Linked DNA regions of Arabidopsis thaliana. The protein of the gene in region 3 purifies or fractionates together with the protein of the main gene of each other region. This does not show direct contact. Each region holds a gene or a part of one and is shown on either strand. Other genes may lie near its edges.

Region 1 (5,389 bases), 1.2 Mb from region 3:
AAACATTCTTTCCCCTTTTCACCACCCAAGCACTTCTCTGTTTGTCCTTCTGTTAATTGTTTCTGGCTGCAAAAGAATCATCTAGGTTTTGTTTCCTACTTACGTGAACAAGCTCACTCAATTGTTAATAACATGATGGTTGTTGCTGGCTTTGGGCATGATGGATCATAATCTTAGACAGTCAGTATGTGGCTACTCAATTGTTGTCATGATGCTGTTAAAAAAGAAAGAAAGAATATATATGAAACTCTATTGGTTGAACTCATAACCTAATAGTTCAAGTGAATGAAATCATGAAATGATAGCGTACCTAGTTAAACATATTCATTTTATGGGAGGAGGTTAGAAGTTGAGATGATGTTGAGTTCCTAGGCATAGATTCTAACTCCATTTGTGTCTCTTCAAGATTGCAGGTTGCTAAGAGAAAGATCGCCACTCTCTTTAAACACTTTGAGTTAGCGAGAATGTATGTCATTAGTTATTTCTCATCTTCTCTTCCTCCATAGCCTCCCCACCTAAAGATCTGTAAATGAGACAACAAGCATTCGGGAATAGTAGAAGAACTCGGCTGGTTCCATGAAGGTGGGAGACACGTAGAATCCTGATATCAATACATTTGCTATAATGTTAAGTTCATCTATAAACTAGATGCACTTGTGTTTAAGGGGAGGAGGATGGTATACTTACAGTGTCAATCGTAAGAATTTGTAGTTTAGGAGAATTTTGAAGCAAATACATAAGTGGTTCCAACCAATCTACCAAATTGCTTGGAACAAAATAAAACTCCAAGAGCCGAGAGAACTTGATGGTGTTACACCACGCAACCTGTGATTAAAAAAAAATATAACATTAGTTGGCTAAGCAACAAGGAAAAGAAGAGGATCGGAGATATGTAATCGGTACCATTGGCTTGGTCAAATACAAGTACATATGTATGACAGAAGAAAGAGATCTCAGAAACTTGTGATCGGGGTTATGAACATAGCCGAGTTTTGCTATATGAAGGCAAGAAATATTCTCTATCAAGCAATAGTCCAAAACGTTACGTAAGCGTAAAATTTCTAATGCAGGGGAATCTATTACCAAGGATCTATTGAGATCATCATCATCATCCTCCTCTACCTCACCTACGTCAACTTCCTCAACCACACCTTCCTCATCATCCTCTACCTCATCTACATCATCATCATCCTCTACCTCATTTTCCTCTACCACGTCTTCCTCATCCTCTACCCCATCCTTCCGCCGAGTAGTATTATAATGTAACTGTTTCAAGGTAGATACTTTCACGGTAAATTTTGTCAAGTTGTCATCCTTATGTCGATCCACCTTCAGGCAGTTGAGAACAGGGGAGCTTGATAAAAGGCTAACAAGAGATTCTTCGTCTTTGTACACCACAAAGCGAAGACTCAGAGTTAAGAGAGATGGTAGGCGAACAGGGGAAGAAACGTTCACTAGAATCTTGTTGGATAGACTTAAATCAACGAGCGTGTTGCATGTGTAAAGGCACTTAGGAAATCCTGTGGGTTCTGCGGTCCAGAGGAGATTGAAATCTAACTCTTTCACACCTCTATTAACTACGTTCTCAACCCACTTTCCGACATCTACGTCAACAGGACAATGTGGACCGAGTTCCACAACCAAACTATCTAGTTTCGGTGCCTTATGGAGTTGCAATGACTTTTCAATAAACCACCCCACGCTCTCGCTGTCATCTTCTTTGAATTCGAGTCTAGGCACCATCGGCCAGACATAACGCCATCGTTTAGACAAGATTGAAGTGGCGACTGCCTCTTTTGTTGGGACGTGATGCAAGATCTGCAAGAGCAAATCGTTAGGAAAAGCACAGATTCTAGTTTCGTTTATCTGACAACTTTCGGTTTCTGGAACAGTTGATATATGCTCATCGTCGTGTATAATATCCCAAAAAAAAGACCAACAACTTAAGCAACCCATAGATGTGGCCATGTGGGATACCGGATACCTAGCTAGACGCCAATGGAACTTTTTTCTCGTCGCTGGCTGTGACACAAAAGTGAGTCTATATTATAAAGCTTTTTTTCAAAAAAAAACAATTATTATACAAATATTTATTATTTGTTCAAAGAAAAAAAAAAAAAAATATATATATATATATATATATATATTATTAATGCATATAAAAAAAGAAACTAAATTAAAGTTGCCCAATTTTTAAAGTAAAACTGCAATATAGACACACATAAAATATATCAATCGATTCTCATTCTTACATAATTGTTAGTTTTTTCCCTTAAAAATCTAATCATCAAACCAAACAAAATTGTTGAAAATCCAAATTTTCTAGCCTGGTCCTTATATTTCCATTTGTTATTTTGGATGAATTTATTTTCCAATTCCCAATTTTGCCGCCAACCTTGATTAATTTCTCTACTTGGCTTGCTCTAATTGCTTGCACCACGCCCTTGTAAATGTATCGATTATGTTTTTACGTGCCATGAATTTAAATTTTTTGTTGTTACACTATTTGATAAAATAAATTGAATGTGTTTTGACTAAACGGATTATAATACTAATTAATCTTTTTAAAGTTCTACGTATAATTTAATGCATCTATGATTTCTTAAAAAATCAAAATAAAAATTGGTAATAATGTTTCTAGTTTCTGTTCACTACAACATACAAACGATACTTATTCTAATTGCAGCTAATAATAGAATTGGTTTTTACAAGTTGAATTTTTTTTAATTATTTGTACATGGGCCTTTAACTGGAGCATAATTAAAGACCAAAATGAGAAAAGGCCCATATAGTTGTAGTCTTAGTTTAGGTTTGGAGTCTCACCCTTATATTCTTCGTTCCAAACGAAAACCCTAAAAGAGAAAAGGAGGCGAAAATGGTGCAGCGTCTTGTTTACCGGTCGCGACACAGCTACGCCACCAAATCGAACCAGCACCGTATCGTCAAGACTCCAGGTCCCTTTCTTCTTCTTCTTCTTCTTCCTTGATATCTTCAATCTCCTCTGCTTTAGTCTCATAATTCTCTAATCACCGATCTGTTCTTCATAGTGTAATGTGTGTTGGGATTGTTGATTTCAGGAGGTAAATTGGTGTATCAAACCACAAAGAAGAGAGCTAGTGGCCCCAAATGTCCTGTTACTGGCAAGCGTATTCAAGGAGTAAGTCTTCTGATTTCGATTTGGCTTCGTGTGATTTGGTTTACATGGTTCTTGTATCTAGAGTCTTGATTTGAGGTCTAGATAGAGTTAAGAGTTTGAATTTTTTAGGAATTTGATGGCTATGTATAACCAAATCAATCAGATTGAGTGTTTTAGAATGTTTTGAGTATTGATCAGTCTCATTTTTAATGGGCATGTCTTCTTATTTCAAGAAACCATGTTACTTAGTTAATAGTATTGTGCTTATTGACGGTCTTGTGCTGATTAGATAAATCCCACATCAGTACATAACATAAATCATAAGCTAAATTGTCGGTGCCACTTTGTCTTTCAAGTTGTTCCTTGTATTACATAAGGATTTGCTATCCACCTTTGGCATAAATTTTCAGTTTATTCCCAACTATATATGTTTGATTATGCAATGGCATATTCCTTTTGCATTATGTGAATAACTTTGTTTGTTTATTCAGATCCCTCACTTGAGGCCCTCTGAGTACAAGAGGTCAAGATTATCAAGAAACAGGAGGACTGTAAACCGAGCATACGGTGGAGTCTTGTCTGGTTCTGCAGTCAGGGAAAGGTTTGTTGTCCATCTTACTTGAGTCATCTTTCTATTACAATAAATTTGGTGTTCTTTAACGTAATGTTGTTTTTGGATTCCGACAGGATCATTCGGGCATTCCTTGTCGAAGAGCAAAAGATTGTGAAGAAAGTGTTGAAACTCCAAAAGGCTAAGGAGAAAGTAGCCCCCAAGGCTTAAGCTTTTATGTTTTATTCTTCTCTGTTTTGGAATTATGGCTATGTTCAAGTGATAGGACTTGGTGCAGTCATGTGAGGACATCTATGTTACTCGACCAATTTTTAAGCTTTGTATTCTGTTATCAGTTCTTAACTTTGTCGACAATTCTCTTCTCTTCAGTTTTGGAATTGTTGAATTCATCTTTAATGTTCTATTGTTGATGCATATCACATAAGCTGTTGTGATTACCTTCTTGGTTAATATAATATTTCTGAATCTCTCGGAGGCTAAATCAAGCTTGCACTTTAATGTTCTCAGCGTCATGACACAACTATGGAATAGCAATTTTGAGTCTTAAATCTTAACTATGCTTCAATTTTTGGGAATTCTACAACGACAGTCTCGTATGCGATTAATGAAGTCAGCTCCAGAAATAATATACTTACTGGTCTTTATTTTGAATATAGTAAAACTCGATTCAGTTTTTCTCTTGTTCATCTTGACTTACCTCATGCCTTCTTCATTAAAGCAAAGTTGCTTGTGAAAAATAAAAACTCAAGGAAGCATAATTAATAAACGATTTAATTTAGTGAAAGAGAAAGCCTACAAAGAGGAAATACCCTAGCTTGAAAAAAGCAAGCCAAGAAGGCAGAGATGGGAAAATCTATCCACATACATCAGGTTGTACTGGAGAAACAAGCTGGCAAATCGCTATTGATGGACGATAAAGAAGAATAATAACTCTCCAGCAATGTCATGTTCTGTTTCAGGTCTTGATGATGACGATGGTTCTCATTAATTGTTGAAGTGAAATCATCAAACCGAAGTGTGTCGCAATGATCACCAAGATGATCTTCATTGGAACCACGCATGTTCTTCATTATACCATTTCCTTCGAATCCCGTCTCTTGATACTCCTGTGGTAGGCTTACAAGCGGGGGACATTGCTCTTGGGCCAACACTGCGCTGAGGTCGATATGGCTCGTGAATTCTCCCAAGAAGGTCGAATCTGAAGACGTGTTTAGCAGAAACGATGGGATTTCATTTGACGAGGGGAGCCTGGGAAACTGAGGTTGTGTTTCTTGTGTGGCAAGAAAGAGATTTGTGAGGTATTGTTGGTCTAAACATGAAACCGGATTGAAAACGTTGGTGGGTTTGTCGTATGAAGTGAAATCCAAGTAAGAGAAGGGACTTATAGTGGGAACGGATGGAGTTGTACTATTACTAGTTTTGGGAGTGTTCATATTCTCATGGTGAAACTGGAAGTGAGAGCTAGGTTTGAGGATCTTGTCTGAAGAAAAATGGTATGTGTTTGATTGCTTTTGGTTAGACATTGTGTCGGTGCTTGTTTCTGGTGGTAACGAGGAAACAAAAGAGTGAGAGAGAGCTCTTAGGGTCGTTGTGTTGGTCTTTTTGAAGATTCTGCATATAGCCCATGAATCCTGCAGTGGTCCATATCATTCAAAATGTTAATAACAAATGAGTTTAATTTA
Region 2 (5,321 bases), about 16 Mb from region 3:
TTCTTTACCTTCACTCAAAGTTATGGATCTGATTATAACTAAGTTTGCTGACGATATGGGGTTAGAAACGCTGATTACGAAATGCCCGGTTCTTGAAAGCTTGACTATTGAGAGGTCTTTTTGTGATGAGATTGAAGTTTTACGTGTGCGGTCTCAGTCTCTGTTGAGGTTCACTCATGTTGCGGATAGTGATGAGGGTGTGGTTGAAGATCTTGTTGTTTCAATTGATGCTCCCAAGCTTGAGTATTTGAGGCTAAGTGATCATCGAGTTGCAAGTTTTATACTTAATAAACCCGGTAAGCTTGTCAAAGCGGATATCGATATTGTGTTTAACTTGAGTTCCGTGAATAAGTTTAATCCAGATGATCTACCAAAGAGAACTATGATACGTAATTTTCTCCTCGGCATCTCTACTATTAAAGATATGATCATTTTTTCGAGTACTCTTGAGGTACACTACAATGTTGAATTTGCTATTTGATTGAATGTGTAACTTTATTCTTTCCTGATACTTTTTTTTTTCCTTACAGGTTATCTATGATTTCTCAAGATGTGAACGACTACCCTTATTCCGTAACCTATCTGTCTTGTGTGTTGAGTTTTACGGCTACATGTGGGAAATGTTGCCAATCTTTCTTGAGAGCTGCCCGAATCTAAAAACTCTTGTCGTGGTGAGTATTGTCTATTGAACCATGAAATTCTTATTAAGATGCAAAATGGTGAAAGTTTATCATATCTTGAACTTGTGTTTCTTTCACTCGGTATATGCAGAAATCTGCTAGTTATCAGGAGAAGGGAGAAAATATTATTTTGCCGGGACCTAGGCGTTTCCTATCATCTCTCGAGTATGTTAAGATAGAAAGGCCATTGAAAGGAGAGGCGATGGAGATGAAACTAGTGAGTTACTTACTTGAGAATTCAACCATCCTCAAGAAACTGACCCTATGCTTGGATGATTCCGTGAAGAAAGAAGATTCTGTCATCCTAAAAGAACTCCTTGCCATTCCAAGACTCTCTACATCATCCAAAGTTGTCGTTCTCTGATGATCCTCGTAGTCATCACCAATAAACGTACAAGGTTGTTGTCTCTAAGTACTTAGTTAATACGAATTCTCTGTTTTCTTTTAGTTTGTGATGATATTGAAGTGCTTAAGTTCGTAAACGAATCATGTTTTTGGCACAAATCAATCAGTATCACTCCATCGTGGCAAAGATATGCTTTGGGAGATGTTAAGAAAGAACGCTACTAAATTTGGTGGGGGTTAAAATAAACGAGGCCAAAGAAATTTGCACAACCATCTATTATAGATAATCACTCATGTAACAAATATTGCAGAAGTTAAAGTTTTAGGCTCAAAAGAGAAAAAAAGAGTATAAATCATTTGTAACCAATAGGAAGTTTCGGGGGTAAGAATTGAAAACGTGAAATGTGAACTCAACATGAACAAGAAACGAAAACCGAAACGAATTGTAGACAGAGCCAAAGATCCAAAACCAATACAAAAAAGCTTAAATTTTTTGATGAGTACACAATGTTTTTCTCTGCAACCAGTACTATCGCTAGAACAGAGCCATAAAACATAAAAACTAATAGGGTCTAGATCACTTGGGAGCAACCTTTTCCTTTGCCTTCTGAAGCTTCAAAACCTTCTTCACAATCTTTTGCTCCTCCACAAGGAAGGCACGAATGATTCTGTAACACACAAGAACAACCATTAAGATTTGTCTTTGGTTACAAAGGCACAAAGCAAATACAAAATTGAACTCAAGAACGAACCTTTCCCTAACAGCAGAACCAGACAAAACCCCACCATAAGCACGGTTCACGGTCCTCCTGTTTCTTGATAAACGTGACCTCTTGTACTCAGTTGGCCTCAAGTGAGGAATCTAAACAACCAAAGAGATATAAATTAGATGCTGAAGGAAAATGGCTGAAACAACTCCATCAACTTTAAGATTACTGTAAACCAAACTATGAACAATTTACAAGATGTTTGAAGATTTATGCCACCAAGTATAAAAGTGATTCCTTACATACAAAAGGAGAAAACTTGAAAAGACAAGGCGGCACTAAATTTAGCTTATGATAAAGTTATGTACTGGTGTGGATTAATCTTAACCAGCACAAGACCGTCAATAAGCACAAGAAGAAATCAATACAATACAGAATCTAAAACTAATACAATTTACCATCAAGATGGCAAAACAAACAAATCTAAACCTAGTGAAAAGTTTCCAAGATGATTTACCTATTTCTGCCACCAAGATTAAAGCTTACTCCACAGAGAAAACTTGAAAAAGACAAAGCGGCACTACATTTAGCTTATGATAAAGTTATCTACTGATGTTGAATTCATCTAACCAGCACAAGACCGTCAATAAGCACAAACAAACCAAACCTAAACTACTACATTTGCATCAATCAATAGAATAACCTCAAAACAATCAAATGGGTCAATCCAAAATCAAACAAAGTATGTAACTTTAGACTCAAATCGGAGAGAATATGAATCTGAAGAATACTAACACCCTGAATACGCTTGCCGGTAACGGGACATTTAGGTCCACTAGCTCTCTTCTTAGTGGTCTGGTACGTCAATTTACCTCCTGCAAATCATCAATACGTCAATACATTTCAAATCTTATAGATCCATGGATACAGATTTGTGAATTTCAGCATATGCGATTGAAGAAACAGAACAGACCTGGAGTTTTGACGATCCTGTGCTGGTTGGATTTGGTGGCGTAACTGTGTCGTGATCGGTAAACAAGGCGCTGCACCATTTTCGCTTCTCTCTGTCTCACTCACCCTAGGGTTTTTATCCTCCTCAGCTTGACGGAGCAGAGAAGAGACTTTATAAGCTATATTATCTTTATATAGGGTCTTTTTTCACTTCAACACCTAAAGCCCTAGATCGGACGGTTCAGATTACATATTGACTTATGATCATCAATGGACGACATTTTATGGGCTTGTTAATGCTTACATAATAATCCAAATATGACTTGGCCCAAAGGCCCATCTTTCGAACGTTTGTCTTTTCTTTAATTATTCATTAATCAGTAATCACTAGTTCAACAACGTTCAAGAAGATTTGTGTTCATGTACCAAATGTTAATCAACTTTACTTCTAGTTCTCAAAATGTTCTTCGAGGTGATTCCAGATGTTGTGGTGATTAGAGGAGAAAGAAAAACGCTAAGCTACCACATATCATTCATTAGATATACTATTGTTCTCAGGAAGATATGAACAACAACAAAAAGACATCTTCCTGGATCTGATGAAGCCATATTGTTCCAACATCTATGATCTAATCTATACGCAGAGATGGCTCAACAAGGTAACAACGAGAAATATGGTTCCATATGAATCTTCCGACCGTTGAAGCTGATCTTTTCAAGTTTCTCCTGACACCAATGTAACTTCTCAGTAGTAAGTTTCGACATGTACATCACTCTTGAAACCAGTCTCAGTTCAATTTTAGCTATTAGTAATTCATCCTTCACACCAATACTACTCTTTGATTCATTCTTCTTTAACTTCTTCACTATACAGCTTTGGCTTCTTTGTATTTCCTTTAGCTTCTTCTCTTTCTACATTAGGCCAAGAACAGGTTCTTGAGTGAATTGTTAAACATTGATGTAATCTGACAAAATGAGAGCAAGAATTTGAAGTTTTTAAATACCTTTTGGAGATGAGTTCTGATATCTGTCAAGAGCTCAAGGTCTAAAGAATCCTGTGGAGAGACTTGAGTTTGGTGAGAAACTTTCATCATTGAAGTAAACTCGTCTTTGTCTGCACAAAGAAACTCCCAGAAAACACTCATCGACTCTCGGATAATCTCTCTCAACATTTCAGTCTTTACCGCGAATTCTCCTTCATATCTACATTTCTTCTTCGAAGAACGGTCATCTGAAAACTTTGCAGATTATGGTATTAGCAAGAAAGGTTCAGTATATACTATAAAGAATAATGAAAACATGTTTTGTTACCTCTAACAAGTGGAATCTGAAGGAAATTCTGGAAATGGCGACGGTTCTTTAAGTAAGTCTCAACTCTAGAGGAGTTCTGAAACGGTTCATTCTCCACAAACCGTTGAAGCAGAACTTGGAATAACTGAAACTCTCCAGCTACTAAGTTGTATTGATAAGTAGTAACCTGTGAATCAAATTCCAAGACTTTGTCGTATTGCCATCGAAGCATCTCCCACGAGAGACAAACTTGGCCTACATAGACAGTCTCAAAGTCTCTGCTTGCTTCTTTCACAAGTCTCTCACTCGGGTCACATTCAAGCGTATGTTTCTTGAATGGCCATATATTCTGATGCAGAGACGATTTAGGCGGTTTATCAGTGTTTCTACTAGGTTTAGATGAATCTTTTAGCTTTAGCAAACCTGTTAAATCAAATCCAAAAATGTTAACTATATACTCAACTAACACTTTTGAGTAGTTGAGAAAACATTTAAGAAGGAAAGAGACATTCTTCAACAATATGTCCTCACAATCAAAGTAAAAGCTGGAATCAGACAAAAATTTAAGACTCTGTAGATACGTCATTGCTAATGATGTAATAGTCTGCTAAGAACATTGATTGAAAATTGAATTGAGAATAGATTGACTTACTGATGGAATGCATTGTTTGAGAATCGATGACATCGAGTTTTCGCATTTTAACCGCGTAGTTCTTGTAAACCTTGTGAATTTCAGCAATTCTGTCTTTGTGTTGATCTGGTTTTGGTTCAATCTTGAGTGGTTTCAGCTCTTGTAATGGAGTCTCTGATTCCTCAAGAATAGTGCACAATCCTCCTGTCCTTGCAGTCCTTAATTCTGTTTTCAACTTCTCAATCACATCACTATGCTCAAACTCATCATCATCTGAATCTGAACCATCATCAAACTCATCATATACCTCTTCTTGTTCATCAAAGCCCATTTTCATCTCTTCTTCTCTGTGTATAAACTCTTCTTCTTCTTCTTCTCCATAAGCAAAGTTTGAAATCTGTAAACTTGGGTTTAGTTCTATAAACCCATCATCATCATCAAACAAGTTGTCTTCACCACCAACAAGATTCTCGTGAACCAATGACTCTTTTAAAACACCACAACTCATGAACTCATAAACCAACATCTCTTCTTTCACGTGTTCCTTCATAAAACCATCTGATTCTGATTTCTCCAAAACCATGGAACTCGTTTTTTCATCAGAGAAACTCACCATCTTCTTCTTCTCCTCCTCCTGAACAGTAATAGCAGAATACTCATGAAACTTAAAGCTAAACGCTTTAGGTTCTTCTACAAAACCAACGATACTTTTGTTGT
Region 3 (4,632 bases):
TGTCATCACACTATCGACGGAGAAACAGAGCTTGCAGGGTCTACATTGTACACATTTTTTATATCTGTATCAAAGGACGTGGAATAGCAATTTATGAGGACGAGAGATATGAGACTGAGAAAAAAACCATTATATTACACTAAATAGCTAAAGAATATTTCATCACAATGCCTGCAAAAGAATGACCTAGGATAGCTTCATGTTTTGTATGATCCATTCACCCCCCAATCATCTAACAAAGGATTAGCTACAAAAAAAACAAAAAAAAAAAACACAATAACCATAAAGAGTTGCAAACTTGGACAAATAAACAGTTGATGGAGGAAGCAAAACATTGACCATAATCATATTCATTGAAGTGTTAACAGGCTTTTGCTACGGTCATATTAAAGTATCATCAAGCCCATTTTGATAAAAATATGGAAATTGGGGCGACCCGGAATTTAAATTGGATAGTATCCGGGTCAGCTATCCCGTGTCTTTTGACTCCTTCCCTCATCGTCGTCTCTTTCTTCGCCAAGTCTCTTTTCTCCTCGTCTCTGCCTAGCCGATAAATTCGCCGTTCTCCATCGGTAAACGCAGCTGAGGAGCTAGATAATTCTCTGATATCTGCGTTACGCCGGTGTGGAAGCAAAATTTAGGTTAATCGGATCTCAATTATGGACGAAGAGGCAGCAAAACCTAGAGACTCCACCGTGAATCAGCAACATCAATACTATTACGGAACGTTTCAAGGCGTTGCGAATTTTCCTACTCCTACTCCACCACCGCAATTTATGCAACCACAGCATCCGATTACTACGTTTCCTGGACATGCTTACCAAAATCTCCAAGGTTTTAAAATCTCTCTATCCCTCTTGTTAATTTTGGATAATTACTTTGTGATTTGTGATTATTTGGTGATTGGAATTGTTAGGTCATGGTGGTGGTGTGAATTATGCTCAAGGATTCCCAGTTGTTGTTCCTGGTAATCATTTCTGGAAAAATCTTCTTTCTTTTCTATATCAATTTGATCAGATACTGAGGGTAGATTTTTGTTGATGTGAGAGTAATGATTCTGGTTATTGTTGTTTTAGATTATACAGTGGTTGAGGTGAGACCAATGATAGAGCATGAACTTCCTTGTTGTGGCTTGGGCATGGGCTGGTTTCTGTAAGTTCCTTGTTATACATTGTCTCGCAATACGAATTCCCATTCTCTGTGTTTTGAATTGCCAAATGCAATTGATTTCTGGTTGTTTTATTCCATGTATAAGATCAAAATTACAGAAGCTTAGGTTTATGGTAGTTGGAAACTCGGTTTATGATCTTTAGGTTTTAGAATGCTATCATAACCAATTTCTTTGATAGTATTAAGTGACAGTTCGTTGTGGAACTAGCTCTAGATTCTGTAACAGAGTCTTCTTTCCTGGAATCTCTTTGTTTCGAGTGAGATTCTAGATGAACTGATTGCCTCTTGGAATCAATATAAAAAGTCTGTGTAAAACCTTCTTGAGGCTTGTCTCTATCCACTAATGTTTAGATTTACAAGAGCATCAAGATTAGCTAATATTCGATAAATGGATTTGTTGGTCATTCAATCTGGATATACTTTGATGAACTCCCTGACACGGAGATACAAGTGCAATCCGCCTTATATGATTCTGTCGTTTAACGAGAGAAAGCTGAAAGCATACATCTTGTGACTTGAAACTCGTTCCAGTTGCTAATTAAAGTTTTTGTTGTCTATGGTCCCAGGTTTATCATGGGCTTCTTGTTCGGTGGGATCCCTTGGTACCTCGGTGCTTTTATTGTTCTAGTCACATCTGTTGATCACCGCGAGAAAGCTGGTTACGTTGCCTGTTCAATCGCAGTGAGTTCCTCTCTCTCATTACATTGTCGTAGAACAACGGCATTGGTCACTCATCTATATTCATCATTGTCTCTCATAATTTCTTTTTCTTTTTATGAATTCTTCCAGTCCGTTGTCTATTTGATTGCCGTCATGCTCGGGATGACTGGGGATATTAACATCTGGTGAAACTACTCCCCAGCCAAAACCAAACTCAATCTTGTATATATATCTACATATATACTCGAAAACGTAGATATATATCAATATCATTTACACCAGTTATTGCTGATTTTAGTGAGTTACAGAAGGGAAATATTTGTAACTTTGTGTTGAATTTTATATCATAACTAAATATTGTATATATGTGGTTGATTCCCTTGGTGGCATATCTATCTATATGTAAAATATTTTGTGATTTGTTTTGACCATTGCTACACAAAAAGTTCCCCAAAAGCTAAATACGTTTTCATGTCTTTCTTTGTGCTTTTCTTCTTCTACTCAACACACTTTATTATTTATAGATCATAGCGAAAAAAAATCCGAATTCAGTAAAATTGATGGTTGATAAAAATCTGTAGAGAATTATAGGCAGTGGGTTGTAAATTTAAAAGGCCCAATGGGCTTTAGCCTGTAGGATCTAGTATTAAATTTTTGAGATTAGGGTTTAAAATTTTCATTCTTTTTAGCTAGGTCATATATAAAAAAAAGCCGCAAGAATAGAGCTTGCGATTATCGGAGGATTCAATCATCGGCGGAGGACGAAAATGAGTGTTATCAGGGTAACATCTCGTTAACTCTAGCCGGAGCTTTAGCTTCTCCTCCTTCCAATTTAGCGCATTGATGTTTCCCGTTTTCTAATTTCGACAAATCTGATCGGAATTTTGTAATTGCAGCTGCACCAGTACCAAGTCGTAGGACGAGCTCTCCCGACGGAGAAAGATGAGCAACCAAAGATTTACAGGATGAAGCTATGGGCAACGAACGAGGTTCTTGCCAAATCCAAGTTCTGGTTAGTTTAATTTTATCATAAATTCTCACCAATTTCATGATGTTTGAATCGTTGTGATATTGAATCGTTTCTTCATGTATGTGTTTTGAATTCAGGTACTACTTAAGGAGGCAAAAGAAGGTGAAGAAGAGTAATGGACAGATGCTAGCCATCAACGAGGTACTTGCTGTAGGATCTGAATTTGATTTGTTCTCGGTAGTAGTCTCTCAGAATTATGGAACATTTTTAGATATTTGGTCTTAACTTGATTGTGTAAAGTGTTTGTGATTCTGTAAAATATTTTGTCGTTCGTGTTGCTTGATTCTTAAAATGACTAATTGGTGTGACAGATCTTTGAGAAGAACCCAACAACGATCAAGAATTTTGGAATCTGGTTGAGATACCAGAGCCGTACAGGTTACCATAACATGTACAAAGAGTACCGTGACACTACTTTGAATGGAGCAGTGGAGCAAATGTACACTGAGATGGCGTCAAGACACAGAGTAAGGTTCCCTTGCATTCAGATTATTAAGACAGCAACAGTCCCAGCCTCTCTCTGCAAGAGGGAAAGCACGAAGCAGTTTCACAACAGCAAGATCAAGTTCCCGTTGGTCTTCAGGAAGGTTAGACCTCCCACCAGAAAGCTCAAGACTACCTTCAAGGCCAACAAGCCTAACTTGTTTATGTAGAACTAGAAGCTCTCTCATTTTTCTATCATAAATTCATAAGGTAATTGACTTTTCATACTTGTTGAGGGATCGAAGTTGCTGGTTTTGGCTTTTTAAAATTTTGTGGGTAGAATCTTGAAGTTTTATGATTCATTCTCTTGGTTTCGATTCTGGCTTTTCTTGTTCATTTTTATTAGTTAGGTTTCCCAATTGTCTGCGTTGATCCCCGTTCTAAAATTTGTTGGACATTGTAGATGTTTTCTTAATCCATGAATACGGTACGATTAGAGCTTAAACTAATATCCTCTTAAAAGAATGTAATTAGAATCTACCATGAAATGAACGAACAACGTGAAGAAGACTAGAGCTTTGGTTTAGACGACTCATATGAGACTACTAGCTCATTAGGACCAAACCCGGACGAACCAATCTAATCGGCTAAAGTGAGTGAACAATCTTTGGATGACTTTATCCCTCTTCTAAACAAAATCAGAAGACAGGCTAAAAAATTACAAAACAACTAAACCTATATGGGCCAAAAGCATATGGGCTTATTTAATACTTGTAGCAGCATTTTTCACACAGTTTAATATGTTACAAAATCTTTCATGACTTATCTTTCATAAAAAAGGGTGAACGACCTGTGTCCCCGTAGAAAGTTTCATATACGCTCATAATTCTACAGAATCCAGACTTCGACTCTAGTCCACACCAAATGAAAGTTCCAAACCTCAGTTCCACGGGTACAATAAACCAACGATAAACCACAAAATTCAAAATTTTGTGGACCGAGGATTTGAACTTTTGATTTAGGGGAACTGAGGTTTGGAACTTTCATTTGGTGTAGATTGGAGTCGAGGTCCGAATTCTGTGGAGTTGTGAGCGTATATGAAACTTCTCATGGGGACACAGGTCGTTCACCTGATAAAAAAAAATAAAAAATTGAAGAGTATTATAGTACTACATAATACTTTTTTCTTTCTGTTTTGATAAGATTTTGTTAAACTCAAAGATGACATCTATTCAAACAAAATATTTCGGTTTCATTAACCCATGACTGGATGTTGTAGAAAATAATAACAATTCATAATGTATAAAAAACAAAAGACAAAAAAAAAACATAATTCTTAAGACTCATAA
Region 4 (4,247 bases), on a different chromosome or scaffold from region 3:
ATGGTAGAGACTGCCCCTACTAAATGCTGAAGATAGCAGGTTCGATTCTCATCTAGTTACATTTTGCACCTACTAAATTTCTTGGCTGGGTCCGCCACTGGCATCATCTAGTTATTCTTATAACATTTAAAAATAATGGTTCTTTGCCGTTTTCTTTAGTCGTTGGAATAATAAATTTCTGGAGACTAACAATGACTGTTATCTGCGCTCACGCGGTTCTACTAAAACCGACCTTCTTTGGTTCTTCCCTTACATGACTATATATCTTCGTTTGCAAATATCAATCCATATATCATACACATCTACATACCATTTTCATCTACATTTTCAAAGAAAAATCATAATCTGTTCGAATATGAGCCAATACAGTCAAAACCAATATGCAGGTTTGTTTGTTTTTTGAGTCCCTACAAATTAAGCATCATGATCATGTATCATCGTTCATCAATCTCGTCATACATCATATTTCTAGAGTTTTATGGTAACAAAACTAATGTCAAATATGTATAATTAGGAGCTTATCCTACGCCGCCAGTGTCTACCGGTCCATACGTGGCACCGCCACCGCTCGGTTACCCAACGAACGACACGACTCATGCTACGGTGGCTCCTGTCGAGACAAAGTCTAAAGGTGAAGCTGCTGATGGATTCTTGAAAGGCTGGTTAGTCTCTCTTTTTTCTTTTCTTTTTTTCCAATCCTTTGGAAAATTTTAGGACAATTTGTTATTGTGGCTCAACGTAACCGGGACCGCACGTTTGATAAGTTATTGTTTTTTTTTTTGTTAAATGCAGTCTTGCGACCATGTTGGCCTGTTGCGTCCTCGACGCATGCATTTTCTGAGTTCGGAGGAAGCAGTCGATTGTTTATTAAATTTGACACTTCATGCAAATATTTTTCATTGTATTTTGCAAGTAGTTTTTGGGATTCGATTAGCTTATAACATTTGGACCTCCTATTTGTTGATTTAATTATTTATTACTACTTTTTTTATTTTATTACAACTTAGTTTGTAATAGTAAAATTTATTCTACTTTGTGCCCAAAACTGTCAATTGTTGTTCATTTAAATTTCTGGAATTAGATTTAGATACGCTAAATTAAATCACATTTTGCGTTTATATTCCCACCTAATTTGAAACCAGCAATTATTCTTCTTCATAAGAAAACTTTCATGTGCTCTCTCGAAAATAAAGTTTTACTCTAATAACAACACGCACTTTGGACGAGATAAAGCGATTCAAGTAAAATTATTATGGTTCAAACTATTATCTAAGATCCGTTTGTGTAAAACATAACTTCTAATAACATATATATTCTGATCTACTTTTGTTAGTTTTTATTAGTTAATATAAGCGTTAATTATTGTTCTCTCTTTTGCTTAACATGTAAATATTCCCATGGAGAAAGAAGTACACTTTTTGCTTTGAGAAAGAATAAAAAAACTCTTTATTATTACTAAATCAAGAAAAATATAAAACCATGCTGCATTTATCATCATTTTACATATTCTATATATAAGGTTCTCTAATTCGTATACTTTTGTAAATAGAGAACAACGAATTAAAAGACCAAATCGATAGCATCTTACCTTTTTGTTGATATTTATTAAGAGAAAAAATCAACACATTGTTATTCTTCAAGAGAATAAATTTCTGGAGACTTAGCAGTTAATGCAATCTGACCTCACGCGTTTTTTTTTTTTGACCTCACGCGGTTTTACTAAACCGACCTTCGTTTACTTCCCTTACCTCTCTATATATATATCTCTATCTTCATTTGCATATTTCAATTCATTTCATAATCATACACCTCTCTACATTTGTTACTACTTTCTTCTAACTTGTTTTCAAAGAGAAATCACAATCTATCTGTTCCAAGATGAGTCAATACAGCCAAAACCAATCTTCAGGTTTGTATTCTTTTCTTCGTACTAATTTAGCATCAGACCATATGTTTAGTCAATATTCTCATGGTTATAATCATATTTGCAGTTTCATAGTAGTAAGTACTTTTTTAAATGGTAATAAGACTAATGTGAAATATGAATAACTTATAGGAGCTTATCCTACGCCGCCAGTGTCTACCGGCCCTTACGTGGCACCGCCACCGCTAGGTTACCCAACGAACGACACAAGTCATGCCACGGTGGCAACGGTGGAGACAAAGTCCAAGGGTGATGGATTCTTAAAAGGCTGGTTAGTCTTCTTTTTCTAGTATAAACCAGGCATGCACGTTTGGTTAACTATCAAACCGGTTCGGTTATCGTGTGTTGCATTGATTAATTTGTTTTCTTTCATTTTTTGAATGCAGTCTTGCGGCCATGTGTTGTTGTTGTGTCCTCGACGCATGCTTCTGAAGACTTAGATGGTTTATTTTGATTATCTTTGTATTTTGCTTTACCAAAATGATTCGACTAGGTTTATGACATTTGGTACTTCTATTTGTTAATTCATTTCTATATCACTCTTTCTTTTGCATTGTGTAATTTTATAAATTCTTAATATATCGTTTGTTTTCTCTTAGACATCTTCTAAACCACGCTAGATTCACATTTTTGACTTTATTACCGGTTAGTCAACGTGGACTTAAAATCAATTTAATAACACTATATAAGCCAAAGTTATAAACAATTAAAACTCTTGGGGTTAGAATGCAAATAATGAACAAATCGATGCGTATAAATATCTCCCGATAAAGCCCTAGAATCCAAGGAAGCGCCGAGAGAAAGACAGAGAAGAGAGTGACAATGGTGAAATGTATGAAGCCAGGAAAAGCCGTGATCCTTTTACAAGGACGATACACCGGTAAAAAGGCGGTGATCGTGAAATCCTTCGATGACGGTACCGTTGAGAAGAAGTACGGTCACTGTCTCGTCGCCGGATTGAAGAAGTACCCAAGCAAAGTCATTCGCAAGGATTCGGCAAAGAAGACGGCTAAGAAATCGCGCGTGAAATGCTTCTTCAAGGTCATCAATTACCAGCACGTGATGCCTACGCGCTACACTCTTGATTTGGATCTGAAGAACGTTGTCTCCGCCGACGCGATCTCGTCCAAGGATAAGAAAGTGACGGCTCTTAAGGAAGCGAAGGCGAAGTTTGAAGAGAGGTTTAAGACTGGCAAGAACAGATGGTTCTTCACCAAGCTTAGGTTTTGAATTCTACAGTTTTTAATTTTAGTTTTAAAGTTTCAATTTTTATCTACCATGAATTGTTTTTGCTTCTGGTTTAGCTCAAGGTTATGTTTTGTTCTAAATTTCAGTAATATATATTCAATTTTGATGGTTAAAGTTTTAATCTTTCTAGTAACTCTTCATTGTGAGACATTTCTTTCAATCTTGTGGTTAATGAAACACAAATTTATTAAGAAATGAAGAATCAATGTCAGATGATACAACAAGGATTAAAAAAATTCAAGGTGTTTTGGATCTTTTTGCGCATAACCATTGCCTTGATGTTTGGAGATCATCTTCTACGCTCATTGGTACATGCCAGGTTCCATCTTCAGACTCCTGCATCATTCATCAATCAATCATCATCATTAATGCAAAATGCATACGAAAACATTGAGATGGACATAGAAATGTGAGTGTTGACCTGTATAACAATGGAGTATGGAGGTGGCATATTAAGTTTGAGTCCATCTTCTCTAGTGACAGAGATCCGAACCTGCAAACATTGAATCCAGTATCAATCAAAAGCTTATGTATATACATTACATAGACTCTTATATTATATGTTACCTGATGCTTCTCTTTCCACCTTGGGAAGAAACTATTTCCAAGTAACTGGAAGAGATGGTCTCTCATCTCATCGTTTGTTACTAACAAACATTTGCAACTTACCGCAGCGTAAAGCCAATACCTAGAACAATTTGATTTCACATAAGAAATGGTTGTCTTTTTTGGATTATTCATGGTCAATGTAATTCATAGACCCAGAAAAAAAGGCAAATGCAAATACCAATCATCGTTTGAGCCAGGAGGGGTAGCATAGAGAGCACCAGCGTTTTTCCATTTCTCTAGCAAGGCTCTGTTTTTAGGGTATGTAGCTGGACCTCCATTTACACGACTCTTGTGCAGGATCACAAGTGGTAACCTTTTCGACGGGCTTATTTGTTGGCATCTTTGGACAGTGTTGTTAAGCTAGTGGGGAGAGATAAAGAGTCGCATTAGATAAAGTAGTCAAACAATGGTTCTTGAGATTGGCATTAGAATGAGAAAGAGTCAAAACCACCTGGAAGAAGCTGAA

Evidence for each region.
Region 1: the proteins of AT1G29965 (region 3) and AT1G26880 fractionate together in Arabidopsis thaliana (co-fractionation; one large-scale study listed by BioGRID). This does not show direct contact.
Region 2: the proteins of AT1G29965 (region 3) and RPL34 fractionate together in Arabidopsis thaliana (co-fractionation; one large-scale study listed by BioGRID). This does not show direct contact.
Region 4: the proteins of AT1G29965 (region 3) and AT2G32220 fractionate together in Arabidopsis thaliana (co-fractionation; one large-scale study listed by BioGRID). This does not show direct contact.

Annotation. Positions count from the first base shown.
Region 1 is NC_003070.9:9,314,168-9,319,556, reverse strand, and holds AT1G26880 (Ribosomal protein L34e superfamily protein), read left to right. Parts: upstream 1-2,676; 5' UTR 2,677-2,875; coding exon 2,876-2,954; intron 2,955-3,077; coding exon 3,078-3,157; intron 3,158-3,395; exon of another isoform or gene 3,396-3,542; intron 3,543-3,627; coding exon 3,628-3,737; coding exon of another isoform or gene 3,738-3,759; exon of another isoform or gene 3,760-3,823; coding exon 3,824-3,917; 3' UTR 3,918-4,252; downstream 4,253-5,389. Other genes in the region: AT1G26890 (FBD, F-box and Leucine Rich Repeat domains containing protein), read right to left, coding at 479-601, 688-825, 904-1,113, 1,180-1,968; FEZ (NAC (No Apical Meristem) domain transcriptional regulator superfamily protein), read right to left, coding at 4,574-5,338.
Region 2 is NC_003070.9:26,187,363-26,192,683, reverse strand, and holds RPL34 (ribosomal protein L34), read right to left. Parts: upstream 2,910-5,321; 5' UTR 2,785-2,909; coding exon 2,706-2,784; intron 2,608-2,705; coding exon 2,528-2,607; intron 2,388-2,527; exon of another isoform or gene 2,250-2,387; intron 2,082-2,249; exon of another isoform or gene 1,999-2,081; intron 1,888-1,998; coding exon 1,778-1,887; intron 1,694-1,777; coding exon 1,603-1,693; 3' UTR 1,280-1,602; downstream 1-1,279. Other genes in the region: AT1G69630 (F-box/RNI-like superfamily protein), read left to right, coding at 1-451, 531-671, 772-1,044; AT1G69610 (zinc finger FYVE domain protein, putative (DUF1666)), read right to left, coding at 3,335-3,595, 3,688-3,914, 3,995-4,396, 4,626-5,321.
Region 3 is NC_003070.9:10,497,339-10,501,970, reverse strand, and holds AT1G29965 (Ribosomal protein L18ae/LX family protein), read left to right. Parts: upstream 1-2,508; 5' UTR 2,509-2,597; coding exon 2,598-2,612; intron 2,613-2,726; coding exon 2,727-2,842; intron 2,843-2,937; coding exon 2,938-3,001; intron 3,002-3,171; coding exon 3,172-3,513; 3' UTR 3,514-3,661; downstream 3,662-4,632. Other genes in the region: RPL18AA (60S ribosomal protein L18A-1), read left to right, coding at 660-834, 917-967, 1,077-1,152, 1,737-1,851, 2,727-2,842, 2,938-3,001, 3,172-3,513.
Region 4 is NC_003071.7:13,676,199-13,680,445, forward strand, and holds AT2G32220 (Ribosomal L27e protein family), read left to right. Parts: upstream 1-2,711; 5' UTR 2,712-2,746; coding exon 2,747-3,154; 3' UTR 3,155-3,325; downstream 3,326-4,247. Other genes in the region: AT2G32200 (cysteine-rich/transmembrane domain A-like protein), read left to right, coding at 254-386, 515-662, 793-841; AT2G32210 (cysteine-rich/transmembrane domain A-like protein), read left to right, coding at 1,879-1,909, 2,057-2,195, 2,311-2,356; PRORP1 (proteinaceous RNase P 1), read right to left, coding at 3,410-3,508, 3,594-3,665, 3,740-3,860, 3,960-4,141, 4,233-4,247.